Linked DNA regions of Saccharomyces cerevisiae S288C. The gene in region 1 interacts genetically with each later gene. Each region holds a gene or a part of one and is shown in the gene's direction. Other genes may lie near its edges. The genes, in order: DAD1, STU1, DUO1 and TAP42.

Evidence for each region.
Region 2: mutations in DAD1 (region 1) and STU1 together harm fitness more than expected from each alone (negative genetic interaction), as found in Saccharomyces cerevisiae (3 studies listed by BioGRID, with this or other methods).
Region 3: mutations in DAD1 (region 1) and DUO1 are lethal when combined (synthetic lethality), as found in Saccharomyces cerevisiae (3 studies listed by BioGRID, with this or other methods).
Region 4: mutations in DAD1 (region 1) and TAP42 together harm fitness more than expected from each alone (negative genetic interaction), as found in Saccharomyces cerevisiae (2 studies listed by BioGRID).

What each region holds. Positions count from the first base shown.
Region 1 is NC_001136.10:477,638-480,661, reverse strand, and holds DAD1 (Dad1p), read left to right. Parts: upstream 1-1,903; coding exon 1,904-2,188; downstream 2,189-3,024. Other genes in the region: inositol polyphosphate kinase KCS1, read left to right, coding at 1-1,547; HED1 (Hed1p), read right to left, coding at 2,377-2,865. UniProt on the Saccharomyces cerevisiae protein: Component of the DASH complex that connects microtubules with kinetochores and couples microtubule depolymerisation to chromosome movement; it is involved in retrieving kinetochores to the spindle poles before their re-orientation on the spindle in early mitosis and allows microtubule depolymerization to pull chromosomes apart and resist detachment during anaphase.
Region 2 is NC_001134.8:153,098-160,353, reverse strand, and holds STU1 (Stu1p), read left to right. Parts: upstream 1-1,964; coding exon 1,965-6,506; downstream 6,507-7,256. Other genes in the region: HEK2 (Hek2p), read right to left, coding at 1-170; RIB1 (GTP cyclohydrolase II), read left to right, coding at 661-1,698; DNA-directed DNA polymerase alpha subunit POL12, read left to right, coding at 6,744-7,256.
Region 3 is NC_001139.9:388,265-391,871, reverse strand, and holds DUO1 (Duo1p), read left to right. Parts: upstream 1-2,160; coding exon 2,161-2,904; downstream 2,905-3,607. Other genes in the region: YBP2 (Ybp2p), read right to left, coding at 1-1,807; PYC1 (pyruvate carboxylase 1), read right to left, coding at 3,140-3,607. UniProt on the Saccharomyces cerevisiae protein: Component of the DASH complex that connects microtubules with kinetochores and couples microtubule depolymerisation to chromosome movement; it is involved in retrieving kinetochores to the spindle poles before their re-orientation on the spindle in early mitosis and allows microtubule depolymerization to pull chromosomes apart and resist detachment during anaphase.
Region 4 is NC_001145.3:325,414-329,360, forward strand, and holds TAP42 (Tap42p), read left to right. Parts: upstream 1-2,068; coding exon 2,069-3,169; downstream 3,170-3,947. Other genes in the region: PEX12 (ubiquitin-protein ligase peroxin 12), read right to left, coding at 1-22; YMR027W (putative methyltransferase), read left to right, coding at 464-1,876; FAR8 (Far8p), read right to left, coding at 3,247-3,947. UniProt on the Saccharomyces cerevisiae protein: Involved in negative regulation of the TOR signaling pathway in response to type of available nitrogen source. Inhibitor of PP2A phosphatase SIT4, which results in inhibition of nuclear export of MSN2, due to lack of dephosphorylation by SIT4.

The sequences.
Region 1 (3,024 bases):
ATTCTGGGTCCACCATGATCAATACTGAATTGAAGAACCTAGTCATAAGGGAAGTATTTGCACCGAAATGTTTTAGAAGGAAAAGAAACTCTAATACGACTACAATGGGAAACCATAATGCGCGTTTGGGTTCCAGTCCATCTTTTTTAACACAAAAATCAAGAGCCTCGTCCCATGATGCATCGAATACGTCTATGAAGACTCTTGGTGATTCATCGTCACAAGCGAGTTTACAGATGGATGACTCGAAAGTCAATCCGAATTTGCAGGATCCTTTCTTGAAAAAATCGCTTCATGAAAAAATATCTAATGCTTTAGATGGCTCGCATTCAGTAATGGATTTGAAGCAATTCCACAAAAACGAACAAATAAAACATAAAAACTCTTTCTGCAACTCTTTATCACCCATTCTCACTGCAACCAATTCTAGAGATGATGGCGAATTTGCCACCTCCCCGAATTATATCAGCAACGCACAAGATGGTGTTTTTGATATGGATGAAGATACGGGAAACGAAACTATAAATATGGATAACCACGGCTGCCATCTTGACTCTGGTAAAAACATGATTATAAAGTCATTGGCGTATAATGTTTCAAATGACTATAGTCATCATGATATTGAATCAATTACGTTTGAGGAGACGTCCCACACCATTGTTTCAAAATTTATCTTATTGGAAGATTTGACAAGAAACATGAACAAGCCTTGTGCACTGGATCTAAAGATGGGGACAAGACAATATGGCGTAGACGCCAAAAGAGCCAAGCAACTGTCACAGCGTGCAAAGTGTTTAAAGACCACTTCTAGGCGTTTAGGCGTTAGAATCTGCGGATTAAAGGTTTGGAACAAAGATTATTATATCACAAGAGATAAATACTTTGGTAGAAGGGTTAAGGTTGGTTGGCAATTTGCTAGGGTACTTGCACGTTTTTTGTATGATGGTAAGACCATTGAAAGTTTAATCAGGCAAATTCCAAGGTTGATCAAGCAACTAGATACTTTGTATTCTGAAATTTTTAATTTGAAAGGTTACAGGCTATATGGCGCGTCTTTATTACTAATGTACGATGGAGATGCTAATAAATCAAATTCTAAAAGGAAAAAAGCTGCTAATGTTAAAGTCAACTTGATCGATTTTGCACGTTGTGTTACTAAAGAAGATGCAATGGAATGTATGGATAAATTTCGTATACCCCCAAAATCGCCAAATATAGAAGATAAAGGGTTCTTACGAGGTGTGAAGAGCTTGAGGTTTTATCTGTTATTAATCTGGAATTATCTGACTTCTGATATGCCGTTAATTTTCGATGAAGTAGAGATGAATGATATGATTAGCGAAGAAGCAGATTCGAATAGTTTCACCTCCGCCACCGGTTCGAAAATCAACTTCAACAGTAAGTGGGATTGGTTAGATGAATTTGACAAAGAAGACGAAGAAATGTATAATGATCCAAATAGTAAACTAAGACAAAAATGGAGAAAATACGAGCTTATTTTCGACGCTGAACCAAGATACAATGACGATGCTCAAGTTAGTGATTGAAAAGAAAGGATAGAACTAATGAATATTCTTTTAGCTGCGCTTATTTCAGTCCGTAAATGCATTTATCTATTCGTAACTATCATTATTTTGATTGCATAATCCAATAAATACACAAACGAGCATAGCATATATAACTATATATATGAAAAGACAAACGAATTTGTACGTGTATGAATATGACTACACGGTTATAGGCGATCACTAGAACCATTGAGCGGAAAGGGCCACCTCCGGGTAAAAGTCAAGGCCGCGAAAATAACAAAGGGAATAAACAGTCACCTTTAACAAGAGGAGGTAGTAATTAGCGTAGGAATAGGACTGATGAAGAGCTCGGACGTGTGAGGATATATGTACATATGATGGCTAGTACATCCAATGATGAAGAAAAGTTGATATCAACCACTGACAAATACTTCATCGAGCAGAGGAATATAGTATTGCAGGAGATCAATGAGACTATGAATTCAATCTTGAATGGTCTGAATGGTCTCAATATATCATTGGAGAGCTCGATAGCTGTGGGAAGAGAATTCCAGTCAGTTTCTGATTTGTGGAAAACACTTTATGATGGGTTGGAAAGTTTATCAGACGAAGCGCCCATCGACGAGCAACCTACTTTATCTCAATCGAAAACGAAGTAAAGTTGCGGTTCCCTCTGTCTCTCCTAATATTATCCTAAATTTATGTTTACAGTCGCAAATTAGATAAAGGATACGTAAGATATAAATTGTAATTTTAGCCTAATGATAAGTAAGTTGTGGACAACTTTTGCACGTTGAAAAAAGTGGAGGGCCACCGAACTCTTTTTCAAACGTTCTCCTCTTTGAACTTAGTTGTCTACCGTTTTGGATGGTAATAGCTGTTTCTTGGATAGACCTACCTTATATTTAACCTTGTTAGAATCCACCTGATAGAATGTCTTGTTCGTTTCATATATCAAGTCCTTTAGGCTCTTCTTCTTCCTTGGAGGGCTTTTCTTCATTGAAGGTGGTGGTTGTAGCCTGTCAAGCTCTTTCGAGGGACCTCCTTGGTATTGATCTTGTTCTCTTACTCCTTTTTTGGCGTCCAGATAAGCACCCCCATTGGGGCTTCCGCCACCTGTGTTCTCAGACAGATTTTTGGCACGAAGTTGTTGTTTTTCCAATTCCAAATTAAACAGTCTTCTTTCTACAACGTTGATGTTGACTATGGGAGAAGTCGTAATAGACCTTTTGTTCTTTCTTGCTGGAGCAACTTCGGTGCACAAGCTCTTTTCGGCATTATTATGTACCCCGAGTGGTATATAGGAGCAGCTTCTCCTATTTGATCTTTGTTGCATCGTCTTGATTTCTCTCTTTCGTTCGTCTCTGACATGTAGTTGTAATTCAAGAATTTAACCTGGGCGGCTATCTTAATAAATAGTGCATTACTCAAGCAAAAATCAGAAACCACGTACGCTAATTAAAGCCGTGAAAAACGAAAATATAAATATGCGAGA
Region 2 (7,256 bases), on another chromosome or scaffold:
TTGGCAGCCTCTTTCAATGACAGCAAAAGCCTGTGATTGATGGTGGGTTGAGCGGTGGTGCCAACAACGGGGGCGCCGCCAGTGGCGGCGCTGCCGGCATCACTGGAGCCGCCGTTGGTATTGTTTGTGGGAATTGCAACGGGAGTAGCAGCTTCGAAGAACTGTGACATGGCTGGTATATATACTAATGCTGTCTCTAAGTTACCCGATAAGTTGATGCTTTGTTGTACAGGGGACGCGCGATAGGAGTGGGGAGCAATATGCTTTTACTTCGTATGCCAAGTAGTTATATATGCTCGGGTACTTATGCTCCAGATTATAGTCTTGTTTGTTGTTTGGCTGAGCGGCCGGACACACAGAAAAAAAACAAAAGGGCTTTCGTTAAAAGGGATAGGGTAATGTCTAGACTTAGCATAGGGCTAAAACAGAAATAGTAGGGTCTATACCGTTTTTGAAAACAAGTTGTGTAGGGTGAGACTTTTTCTTTTTCCTTTGAGTTTTTCTTTTTCTTTTTACGATTTGTCAGAAATTAGTCGGACGCTCTTGTGGGGTGAGCGCCAGCGCCGCTATAGTATATATAAAGAAGTTGCTGTGCTGGCGTGGACAATAATTGAGTCATTACAAAAAGTGGCGTACATAAAACTACAACAAACCTACAGGATGACCATAGATAACTACGACAACAGTAAACAGGATAGCAGCAAATACGAGGTTAGTGGTACGGGTGATGGCAGGAACGGCGATGGCGGCTTGCCTCTAGTACAATGTGTCGCAAGAGCTCGTATCCCAACCACACAGGGTCCGGATATCTTTTTACATCTTTACAGTAACAACAGGGACAACAAGGAACATCTAGCCATTGTGTTTGGTGAAGACATACGGTCGCGCTCGCTATTCCGTAGAAGACAGTGCGAGACGCAACAAGATAGAATGATCAGGGGCGCTTATATTGGCAAACTGTATCCCGGCAGAACTGTGGCAGACGAAGACGATAGACTCGGATTAGCTCTGGAGTTTGATGATAGTACAGGTGAGTTATTAGCTTCCAAAGCCACTACATGGGACGCCCATAACGACACGCTGGTACGGATCCATTCTGAATGTTACACCGGTGAAAACGCATGGAGCGCCCGTTGTGATTGTGGTGAACAATTCGATAGGGCCGGTAGGCTTATCGCTTGCGACCACGAACCCACAAGCAACATCAAAGGTGGAAACGGCCATGGTGTTATCGTGTATCTAAGACAAGAGGGTCGTGGCATCGGGTTAGGTGAGAAACTCAAGGCCTACAACCTGCAAGACTTAGGTGCTGACACAGTGCAGGCCAACTTAATGCTGAAACATCCCGTGGATGCTAGGGACTTCTCGCTGGGTAAGGCTATTTTGCTGGATCTTGGCATCGGTAATGTCAGGCTGCTGACAAATAACCCGGAAAAGATAAAACAGGTAGATCATGCGCCTTACCTTAAGTGCGTTGAACGAGTGCCTATGGTACCCATACACTGGACAAACTCCAGTGAAGGCATAGACTCCAAGGAGATAGAAGGTTATCTCAGGACCAAGATAGAAAGAATGGGTCATTTACTAACGGAGCCTCTGAAACTTCATACAAACCCTCAACCTACTGAGACAAGTGAAGCCCAAAACCAAAACCGTATGAACTCTGCGTTGTCATCAACATCGACGCTGGCAATATAAACACAAGTGTAGCATAATTATTAGTACATATAGTGCTTTTTTTGTAATGAAACGAAAATACCATGTTATTTTAATGCGTTACCCCGTCGGCGCGTATTGGCGCATTAACATCTTTATAGAAAATCAAATTATTTACTTATTTATTCTAAAACGCTAAACATCTATTTATTTACATTTGAGGTTGAAACTTCCCTTCATCCGATTGACAGGCATATTTAGCGGTAATTATTAGGGTTTTTGGAGAGACCTTGTATTCTTCAGAAATAATGTCGTCCTTCAACAATGAGACCAATAATAACAGCAACACTAATACACATCCAGACGATTCCTTCCCTTTGTATACCGTATTCAAGGACGAGTCTGTACCCATCGAGGAAAAAATGGCACTGCTTACACGGTTCAAAGGACATGTAAAAAAGGAACTAGTTAACGAATCGTCGATCCAAGCTTATTTCGCTGCGTTACTGTTCATCTCCGGCCATTACGCTTACCGTTCGTACCCGCGGTTAATCTTCCTATCACATTCCTCGCTTTGTTACCTTATCAAACGTGTGGCCATGCAGTCTCCAGTACAATTCAATGACACTCTAGTTGAGCAATTACTAAACCACTTAATTTTCGAGTTGCCTAATGAGAAGAAATTTTGGCTGGCTTCCATTAAAGCCATTGAAGCCATTTATTTGGTTAATCCATCGAAGATCCAAGCTATTCTAGCAAATTTCTTGCGAAGACCAAGTGAAAACCAAAACGGAGATTACCTGAATAGGATAAAATCTACATTATTGACCATCGATGAGTTGATCCAGATCAACGAGAAAAATAATTCAAATCATTTGCAACTACTGAGGTTTTTCATGCTGTCTTTCACCAACCTTTTAAATAACAACCTAAATGAACACGCAAACGATGATAACAATAATGTAATAATAGAGCTTATTTTCGATATAATGTACAAGTATTTGAAAATGGATGACGAAAATTCACAGGATCTGATAGATGGATTTATTAACGATTTAGAAGTTGAGAAATTCAAGCAAAAATTCATAAGTTTAGCAAAGTCACAGGACCAGCATGGTTCACAAGAAGATAAATCGACCTTGTTTGACGAAGAGTACGAGTTTCAATTACTATTAGCCGAAGCGAAATTGCCGCAGTTATCAAACAACTTGAGCAGTAAAGACCCAGCGATGAAAAAAAACTATGAGTCTTTGAACCAATTACAACAAGACTTGGAGAATTTGTTGGCACCGTTCCAAAGTGTAAAGGAAACAGAACAAAATTGGAAGCTAAGGCAATCAAATATAATTGAATTAGACAACATTATATCCGGCAACATTCCCAAAGATAATCCAGAGGAATTTGTCACTGTAATAAAGGAGGTGCAGTTGATTGAGTTGATTTCAAGAGCTACCTCGTCGTTGAGGACAACGTTATCATTAACTGCATTACTTTTCCTCAAGAGGCTAATCCATATCCTAAACGATCAGTTGCCCCTATCAATATTGGACCAAATATTTGTCATTTTCAAGAACTTGTTATCATCTACCAAGAAAATCTCTTCACAAACTGCATTTCATTGTTTAATTACTTTGATCATTGATATAAATCATTTCCATAATAAACTATTCCAATTATCTTTTTTATTAATAAATGAGAAAACCGTAACACCGAGATTTTGCTCTGCAATACTGCTGCGTAGCTTCCTGATTAAGTTCAACGACTCCAATCTTTCGCTCAACAATTCAAATACAACTTCGCCAACCTCAAAGTTGGAGAATAACATCATATACATCGAAGAATGGCTAAAAAAGGGCATTTCAGATTCACAGACAACCGTTAGAGAGGCAATGAGGTTAACTTTTTGGTATTTCTACAAATGTTATCCTACAAATGCCAAAAGATTATTGAGTTCTTCCTTTTCTCCACAGTTGAAAAAAGCAACAGAATTGGCAATCCCTGCTCATTTGAATATAAACTATCAAGTTTCCAGGGTGTCCTCTACTGCCTCCGCCTCCTCTGCAACGTCTCGATTGTACTCTCACTCTTCGAATAATTCTTCAAGAAAAACCAGTTTACTGGAGCAGAAAAGGAACTATCCAAGTTATGCCCAACCGACTCAATCTTCCTCCACCTCCCTACTCAACGCTCCTGCAGTCACAGCTGGTGGAAGTGTCATAGCCAGTAAACTATCAAATAAGCTGAAAACAAACTTAAGGTCTACTAGTGAATATTCAAGTAAAGAAAATGAAAAAAGGGCAAGGCATCATGACAGTATGAACTCTGTTTCAAACAGCAACACCAAAGATAATAATAATGTTACTAAAAGAAAAGTTAGTGCCCCTCCTTCTTCTACTGCCGCCACAAAAGTATCTGAAAATTACACAAATTTTGATGACTTTCCGTCAAACCAAATCGACTTGACTGATGAGTTATCAAATAGTTACTCTAACCCGTTGATAAAGAAATATATGGATAAAAATGATGTTTCGATGTCATCTTCTCCAATCTCATTAAAAGGCAGTAATAAACTTGGTGAATATGAAACCCTTTACAAAAAATTCAATGATGCTTCGTTTCCAGCTCAGATCAAAGATGCTTTACAGTATTTACAAAAGGAGTTACTGTTGACATCGCAACAGTCATCATCAGCCCCAAAATTTGAATTTCCCATGATTATGAAAAAGCTACGCCAAATTATGATAAAGTCACCAAATGATTTCAAGCCATTTTTGAGTATAGAGAAGTTTACAAATGGAGTTCCCTTAAATTACCTCATTGAGCTATATTCTATTAATAGTTTTGATTACGCGGAAATCTTAAAGAATAGAATGAATCCTGAAAAGCCCTACGAGCTTACTAACTTGATTATAACTATCGCGGATTTATTCAATTTCTTGAATGCCAATAATTGTCCGAATGATTTCAAACTATACTATATGAAATACAAAACCACTTTTTTCAATTATAATTTCAAGTTACTTTTAGAGATTTTCCGTAACTTGAACATAAAACATGATAACACTCTGAGGTCAGGAACGAACGATCTCATGCCTAAAATATCAATGATACTCTTTCAAATCTACGGTAAAGAGTTTGACTACACATGTTATTTCAATCTAATTTTTGAAATTTATAAATTCGATAATAATCGTTTTAATAAATTGCTAGCTGATTTTGACATTGTATCTACCAAGATGAAAATCTGTCATGAACTTGAAAAGAAGGATGCCAACTTTAAGGTAGAAGACATCATTTCTAGAGAAAGTTCTGTAAGCTTCACTCCCATCGACAATAAAAAATCTGAAGGGGATGAGGAATCCGACGATGCTGTAGACGAAAATGATGTTAAGAAATGCATGGAAATGACAATGATTAATCCCTTCAAAAACTTGGAAACTGATAAAACACTAGAGTTGAAGAATAACGTTGGAAAAAGAACATCAAGCACAGACAGCGTAGTTATTCATGATGATAATGACAAAGATAAAAAGCTTTCAGAAATGACGAAAATAGTAAGTGTTTATCAACTGGACCAGCCAAACCCAGCAAAGGAGGAAGATGATATAGATATGGAAAATTCTCAAAAATCTGATTTGAATTTAAGTGAAATTTTTCAAAACAGTGGTGAAAATACCGAAAGGAAATTGAAGGACGATAATGAACCAACAGTAAAATTCAGTACAGATCCTCCAAAGATAATAAATGAGCCAGAAAAACTTATTGGAAATGGGAATGAGAATGAAAAGCCTGATTTGGAAACAATGTCACCAATCAAAATAAACGGGGACGAGAATATGGGTCAAAAGCAAAGGATCACAGTAAAGAGAGAAAGAGACGTAGCACTAACTGAACAAGACATAAACTCCAAAAAGATGAAACTAGTTAATAACAAAAAATCAGAGAAGATGCATTTGCTTATCATGGATAATTTCCCAAGGGATTCCTTGACTGTATATGAAATTAGTCATCTTTTAATGGTTGATTCTAATGGCAACACTTTGATGGATTTTGATGTCTATTTCAATCACATGTCAAAGGCAATAAACAGGATAAAAAGTGGATCGTTCACTATGAAACATATAAATTACCTGATCGAACCCTTGATTACTTGTTTTCAAAATCAAAAAATGACCGATTGGTTGACGAATGAAAATGGTTTTGATGAACTACTGGATGTTGCTATTATGCTTTTGAAATCTACTGATGACACGCCTTCAATTCCATCAAAAATATCCAGTAAGTCCATAATTCTCGTTCATTGTCTTTTGGTTTGGAAAAAGTTTCTAAATACACTAAGCGAGAATGCCGACGATGATGGCGTTTCGGTGAGAATGTGTTTCGAAGAAGTATGGGAACAGATCCTTTTAATGCTTAATAAATTTTCTGATTATGGAAACGAAATCTATAAATTAGCGCAAGAGTTCAGGGACAGTCTAATGTTATCGCACTTTTTCAAAAAACATTCGGCAACAAGAATTCTAAGCATGTTGGTTACTGAAATTCAGCCTGACACCGCTGGTGTGAAAGAAACATTTTTAATTGAGACCTTATGGAAGATGCTGCAATCTCCTACCATTTGCCAACAATTCAAGAAATCTAATATATCAGAGATTATCCAAACAATGAGCTATTTCATTATGGGGACTGATAATACTTCGTGGAACTTCACCAGTGCCGTGGTATTAGCTCGTTGTTTGAGAGTCCTCCAAACTACTCCAGATTATACTGAGCAAGAAACCGAACGATTATTCGATTGTTTGCCTAAGAATGTCTTTAAAATGATCATGTTCATCGCCTCAAACGAATAGAGAATAGCGTGGTAGACGCGTAATTTTTTTTTACCGTGACGCGTCTCACCAGAGTTTCTTAGTTCTTTCTCTTTTCTAAAACTGTAATAATATGAGCTCTTTGTAGACACATATAACATTTTGTTTCATATACATAATATATTTGCATATAAAAATATCAAGATAATTGATTGTCAATTGGTTCAACAAAGCTTGAAGGTAAATTTAGGCAGGAGCAAGTGACTGAAAAAAAAAAAAATGAGCGGATCTATCGATGTCATCACTCATTTTGGGCCTGATGCAGACAAGCCGGAAATCATCACTGCATTAGAGAATTTAACTAAACTGCATGCATTGTCCGTCGAGGATCTATACATTAAATGGGAGCAGTTCTCCAATCAAAGGCGTCAAACTCACACAGATCTGACTTCCAAGAACATAGATGAGTTTAAACAATTTTTACAATTACAAATGGAAAAGCGTGCTAACCAAATTTCATCGTCCTCTAAGGTAAACACATCCACAAAAAAACCAGTGATTAAAAAAAGTTTGAATTCAAGTCCCTTGTTTGGCCTTAGTATTCCAAAGACTCCGACTTTAAAAAAAAGAAAGTTACATGGTCCCTTTTCACTCAGTGATTCCAAGCAAACATATAATGTAGGCTCTGAGGCAGAAACAAATGAAAAAGGAAATAGTTCTTTAAAATTGGAGTTTACTCCAGGCATGGCAGAAGATGCTGTGGGTGACAGTGCTCCATTGTCCCACGCTAAA
Region 3 (3,607 bases), on another chromosome or scaffold:
GTGTTAACAGACCCAAATCCCATTTGTTCCTTAAACTAACAAAAAATTTCATATATGTTAGTACCAAGAGTAAATCACCTTGCGTTCTTTTCTTTTGCTTGGCGGCAGAAAAACATATTAAAGCAATGCTATGAATGGAAGCCATGCGATCTTCATTAATAGTGATGTAAGGTCTTGGAGGTAGAGTTGGCATTATCGGTACACTATTAGCGGTATTCCCAGGATTCTGTTGTTCGATTAAACCGACAGTTTCGTCACGATTAGCAGCCTCAGGAGATCTAATCATCATATCTCTTAGAATGTCAAGAACAGCAATCTTTGCAGTTATATATGGACAATGTAGTAGAGTTTCAAAGATGAACGTAAAAGATGTGCTTTCGGGCATGAGATAGAGTAACCTCCTCAGAAGAGTAATTTCGGTCAACTTAGTGTCGTTATTAGATTCATTGCAAGTTTTCATCAGTAACATCTGCAAAAAGGCCGTGGTAATGTGCCCTGGAAGTTCTTGTAAGGCACACTTTATTTTCTCTGTGGAAGTCTCGGTTGTGGATACCCATAGCCAGTAGCGTACTGAACTTTCCAAAAACTTATTTTCGTATATTTCTGAAAATAAAGAAGCTGTCGTACACCGTAGATAGAGGTAAATTGCGCTTTGGATATCAATTTGCGGCAATAAGTGAGTACCATTTTTAGAATAATGTATTGCAGATAGAATCACAACTCCATATTGGTCCAGCTCTAAGTTCTTTTCGTCAGCTAGTTTCTTGATTTGATATGCGTAAGATACCTCATATACTAGTTGGTTAATTTCTTCTTTGAATTCGGGCGTGGAAGCGGCCGGGTTCATGAGAAGAGAGTTATAGATGCTTCTTGATTCTACCAGGCACTTTTCTAAAAGTTCTTTCATGTGGACATCCAATGATGTGACATACTCGTAGTATTGGTGGCATATCTGTAAAACTGAAGCATCGATTTCATTTTCATCTGTTTTTTTATGCATCAATGTTTTGAAATATATCTTGTCAATATTACCTGGATGATTTTTTAGGCAGTTGCTAATCACGAATACGCTCAGATTAGCCAGTAGTTTTTTCTGTAAGGCAGATTCATCATCATGAATTTTTTCAAGATCGTTTGTACTAATACCATCGGTCAGACTAGCAGATGGTTGAGCTGGAGAGTAATTAGTACAAAAATTGTACACTATGCGCAAAATAAAGTGTGGATCATCCATAGCCTGAACGTTGGTTGTTACATACTTAATAATTGCAGAAGTTACCATGGCTAGAAATTTAGATGGATATAAAGTGTCCACACGTTTCAACAATAAACTCATAAATTCAAAGAGAACGTAAATTTTCAAATTTGGAATGAATTCTACTGTATTTTTGGCCATATAGTGCCCAATCTCCGGAGTGATAACTGACAGCTCATCAGTAATGTTTGACGCATCATTTCTATTGGAGTCATTTAAATCTTCATTCTCTTCATCGGAGTCGCCAGTTTCAGTTAAGACTATATGGAGTGTTGACACCAATTCGCAAGCGGTCAACAAGCATTCTTTCGGATTTCCATTGATGGCTAGCTCATTGAAGCATTCCATCACACTAGAAACAAGGGGACTAAAAACTAGATGTATATTGACATTGATGTTTTTGCGTGAGAAAAACTGCAATAAACCCTTTGGCAGATCCCAGCCAATTTCCTTTAAGGTAACTGGATTATCCTTAAGTATTTTCAATAGGGCATCCAAATAACGTTCCTTTTCTTTTATAGACTTTCCAGAGTTCACCTGCTCGTTGTACATATCAATGATTGTTACAAGTGAGACAAAATCATCCTTCTCCTCTTGGAAAGCCCTGACAAGGCTTTTACAAATTGTTTCAATTGACTCACCCATACTTTCTGAGCCCTTCCTCTTGACGGTGAGTTCTTTTAGCCTTTTAGACCCAGGATAATATGTATTTTCCTTTATTCTTAGATGAGAGGTTTTTGGACCTCAGCGCAAGTTAGTTTCACAGCGAAACGAAGGAAAAAAGAATAATAATTACAAACAAACGCCAAAATCAAACGCGATAAAGAAAGATAGGCTAAGTAATCTGGACTGGTGACTCAAGTATTACTAAAGAAGATAATTTGAAACTTGAACAAGTCTTCAATATGAGTGAGCAAAGCCAATTAGATGATTCGACTATAGACAAACTGATTCCACAGATTTTCAATGAGATGAGATCTAACCTCAATAACACGACCAATAAATTTCCAAAAAGCACAGGAGGTGGAGCAAGCGATAATATTTCGGCTAACAGCAATTCTATAAGATCGTTTAATTCAATCACAACGCAATCCTTACTCAAAGAATCAGAATCGTTAGATAAAATAACAGCAATGATAAAAAATGTTACGGCCGCATTAAAAAATAACTTGCCAGTATACGTTAATCAAGTACATGAGGTATGTAAATCTACGAATTCCATTTTAGATTCATGGATCAACATTCATTCTCAAGCTGGTTATATTCATAAATTGATGAGCGATCAAACCTATTTAAAGCTAATTAATGATAGACTGCACAATGAAAATGTAAACACAAATGATGAAGATGGGAGTACTTTACACAACGTGATAGCGTTGAAAAAGAAGGAGATCTTGGATTTGAGACAAAAATTAGAAAATAGGAAGGGTGAAAAGGATGCTGCACCAGCAAAGCCACCAAATCAAGGCTTAAATCCAAGGTACGGTGTGCAATCTGGTAGAAGGCCCGTTCCTTCGGCAGGAATTTCAAATAACGGAAGAGTAAGAAAGACCCATGTTCCTGCCTCGAAAAGACCTAGTGGTATACCAAGAGTAACTAACAGGTGGACTAAGCCCACTGCTAGCAGCTCAAGGAAGATGTTTCGCTAAAAGATGCTTTCGGGAATGTATCTAGGATTTATTGTATATGGAATTTAAATCGAAATAGTAGATAAATTAATGATGAAAAAAGGACACGTTAATTGGATGCGTTAAATTATTATTTTTTTTTTTATTTAACTTTTGTTCCTAATTATGTATTAGTATTTACTGGTCGTCAAAAAATAGGAAAGGTAAATAAATAAGATTCGGGTATATTATACATTATAAATGAGAACTAACCGGTTCATGCCTTAGTTTCAACAGGAACTTGGTCTTCTAATAGAACTAATAAATCAGAAGAGTCCACATTTTCACCATCAGAGACAAACACTTCTTTAACTTGTCCATCGGATGGAGAAGATATAATCATTTCCATTTTCATGGCGCTTAATACGGCTACAGGTTGGCCCTTCTTTATTAGTGATCCTTTATGAACTTTAACTTCAACAATGACACCTGCCATTGGTGCACCAATGTGTAATGGATCATGCATGTCTGCTTTGGATTTAGTAACAGTTTCCACTTTTTGTGATCTGTCAGCAACACGAATTTTTCTCATTTCACCATTCAAATCAAAGTAAACTTCTCTTTCACCGGTCTTTTTGTTCAAATCACCCACAGCCTGTAGCTTGATAATTAGCGTTTTACCTTGTTCGATTACAACTTCAATTTCTTCGTCAGTCTCTAGTGGAGACAAAAAGCTTCTTGTTGG
Region 4 (3,947 bases), on another chromosome or scaffold:
GTAGGTTTGAATAAAAGCTCATCACTTGACGACTACCTTCCTTTCCTTTGCTTTATTTTCCCTGCTTATTCCCTTGCTTCTTCTGGAGCCTTCATGCAAAACCGTTTCTCTACCTAATGTGATTCTGCGGTAAGCATTGCTCTTAAGCATCTGAATGAGACGAAAGGATGACTCCACACTAAATTGTACCTCTCTTCTCCAGTGACTGAATTGGAGGTTACCATTGCCAGTGACGGTAATCGTCCACATCGATGATTTCTTAGTATAACCCACACACCTCTCAGACATAGAGGCCCCAGGTGCAACGTGATAGTATAACTGCCCGGAAGTAGAAATACAACTATTCCCTTCATATTAAAAGAATAAAACTTCATTTGAACTCTTTAAAATTTAGTGGTTCATTGTGGTCCTTGTGTAAACGGAAAAAAAGGATATTACGGTAGTGGGTAGTACATAACAAGAGATGACTATCCCTGGAAGATTTATGACAATTGATAAGGGCACTTTTGGTGAATACACTGCTAGCACCCGTTGGCCCATTATCATTCAGAATGCTATAGACGATTTAAGTAAGCATCAAGAAACGGAGAAGAGTAACGGCACTAAGTTCGAACAAGGTGAAGTTATCAAAAAGGAGCTCAAGGAATTCCGTCAGGAGATAATTGATCGTGTACCTTTGAGACCCTTTACTGAAGAAGAGATCAAAATTGCCAACGTCCCGCTTTCGTTCAATGAATATCTAAAGAAACACCCTGAAGTCAATTGGGGGGCTGTAGAGTGGCTGTTCTCGGAGGTTTACTTGTATAGAAGAGTAAATGTTCTTTTCCAACGCCAATGCGAATGGGCTAAATTTGACATATTCAACAGACTTAAACAGTCAACTTTTGAGTCCTCGTTTTATGGTGTCGTGGAATTGGCGTTAAGGTATGAAAATCTGTTACCACAGCTGAGAGAAATGAAGCAAAATCCAGGAAATGAGATTGACGATATATTGAAAGTTCTTTTTAAAGAGTTTATTGAGATTTCTTTGTGGGGCAATGCCACTGATTTATCTTTATTGACCAACGCTACGTTAGAAGACATTAAATCAATCCAAGGGGCGAAAGCAAGAGCTGCATCCGAGTCCAAGATTGTTGTTAATGACACGGAGAAAGCATGGGAGGTATTAACCAAAGCCAGGGCCGATGCCAATAGCAGAGAAATTCGTGTTGATTTTGTATTAGACAATTCTGGCTTTGAATTGTATGCTGACTTGATGTTGGCAGCTTTTCTGTTACAAAGTGGTTTGGCTACCAAATGTATTTTCCACGCTAAAGACATTCCATACATGGTTAGCGATGTTATGTTAAAAGATTTTGATATATTAGTTCATGACCTGAGAGATCGTGAGTTCTTCCCAAGTGGTGAACCCTCGACAAAGGAATCCAGAGCTCTTGATTTATTTGCTGGTGAAATGGAAAAGTTCGTCTCTAGCGGTAAGATAGAATTCCGCGAAGATTCTTTCTGGACCACGGAATTAGATTATTGGAATTTGGACGCAAACGAAACCAAATACCATGGATCCATTTTGCACAAAGATTTGCAAAAATCCAATTTGGTTATTTTTAAGGGTGATCTAAACTATAGAAAATTAACTGGCGACAGAAAATGGCCCCGCACCACTAAATGGGAAACGGCTATCGGACCTCTTGCTACGAATGGTATTACATCATTGAGCTTGAGAACCTGTAAAGCCGATGTACAAGTTGCTTTACCTGAAGGTCTAGACGCGAAATTAAGTCAAGAATGGGAAAAGGAAAATCCTGGCCGTGGTTCTTGGTGGTGTTGTAGCGGTAAATGGGCAGTCATTTGTTTCTGCTCTGGTATACATAAATAAGAATATGATAAGTTCTCTATATAACTTTACTTTATGACTTTCCCTATGAAATGTTCCAAAAAAGCACATAGATTTTTAGTACGTGCCTTTTATTTTATGTACTTCTGATAAAAAAAAGAAAGCTCCTAAGGACAAATTACAATCAATGGCGAAAGAAGAGGAAGAAAGTAATAACGAGGAGAGATCATAAACATGGCGTCAGTAACAGAACAATTCAACGATATTATTAGCTTATACTCAACAAAATTGGAACACACATCTTTGAGGCAAGATTCACCAGAGTACCAGGGATTATTACTTTCCACGATCAAGAAATTATTAAACTTAAAAACAGCAATTTTTGACAGGTTGGCATTGTTCAGTACTAATGAGACCATTGATGATGTGTCTACTGCTTCCATCAAATTTCTAGCAGTTGATTACTATTTAGGATTATTGATATCAAGACGACAGTCGAATGATTCGGATGTTGCTCAAAGGCAGTCTATGAAATTGATTTACCTGAAAAAAAGCGTTGAATCTTTCATTAATTTCCTGACACTATTGCAGGATTATAAGCTTCTAGATCCTTTGGTTGGTGAAAAACTAGGTAACTTCAAGGATCGTTATAACCCTCAGCTTAGCGAATTGTACGCGCAACCAAAAAATAACAAAGATTTATCTGGAGCACAGTTGAAGAGAAAAGAAAAGATTGAGCTATTCCAGCGCAATAAAGAAATTAGCACAAAACTGCACTGCTTGGAGTTGGAATTAAAAAACAACGACGAGGACCACGACCATGATGAATTACTAAGAGAACTATATTTGATGAGGTTACATCACTTTAGTCTTGATACGATTAACAACATTGAACAGAATTTATTTGAATGTGAAATGCTCTCTAATTTCCTCAAAAATTCCGTACATGAAGTCAAATCATCAGGTACTCAGATACGAAAAGAATCGAATGATGATGATTCCACTGGTTTTACCGATAAATTAGAGAATATAAATAAGCCATTGATAGACAAAAAAGGTCAAGTCTTGAGGAACTTCACGCTTGTCGACAAAAGGCAACAACTGCAACAAAAAGTGCGAGGATATGGTCAATATGGACCAACAATGTCGGTGGAGGAATTTTTAGATAAAGAGTTTGAAGAAGGTCGCGTTCTTCAAGGTGGCGAAGAACCAGAGCAAGCACCAGATGAAGAAAACATGGACTGGCAAGATAGAGAAACCTATAAAGCTCGTGAGTGGGACGAGTTCAAGGAAAGTCATGCTAAGGGAAGCGGAAATACCATGAATAGAGGATAGAAAAAAATACCTATATACGTACACATAAGTATCTATTAGACAGATTCATATATTATTTTTTTTTCTGCCTACATCAGTTATATTTTAATCTTGTGCAAAAGGACTTCGTTATTTTTATTCACGGTGATTAACACCGGCGTAGAATCTACAATCAGATTTGAAGAAAATACCACAGGCTCTTTTCTTTCCGAGAAGTTGATGTCTGCTACGACAAATTCGTCGATGGATGGTTTTAGGTTTTCTAAATTCCTAAACTCAAAGTCTCCATTACTATATGATACGGTGATTATGCTGTCGTTCAAATCGAGTTGTATTGGTAGTGTTGACGATGGAGTCAATTGTTCCTTCAGTACAACTTTTTTCTTATCAAAAGAATAAACCAATAATCTCTCATTGCTTAGCTGAATCAGTAGCTTAGAAGTTTTTCTATCCAAAAATAAATGGTAACCTTCTTCTTCTGGCTTACCCGATAATATTGTATCAATCTTCAAATCAATTTTTTGTAGAAGCTTACCCTCGAAATCATATATGGTAAGCTGGTATGGATTTGAAGACAGTAATATTAAGGATTTTTCTGTTATACCCAATATACAATCCAGAATGTTTGTGGAATCATTACTATCATCGTCATCATTATCATGTGTTATTTCATATGTTTCTTTTATGTTAATTGGGACATCCTCAGGAGCCTCTATATTGTCCAATTCCCAGATTCTAATTTGAGATTTATTCTTACTAGCTATCAACAACCATTTATTTTTGAAGTCTATATTAATGA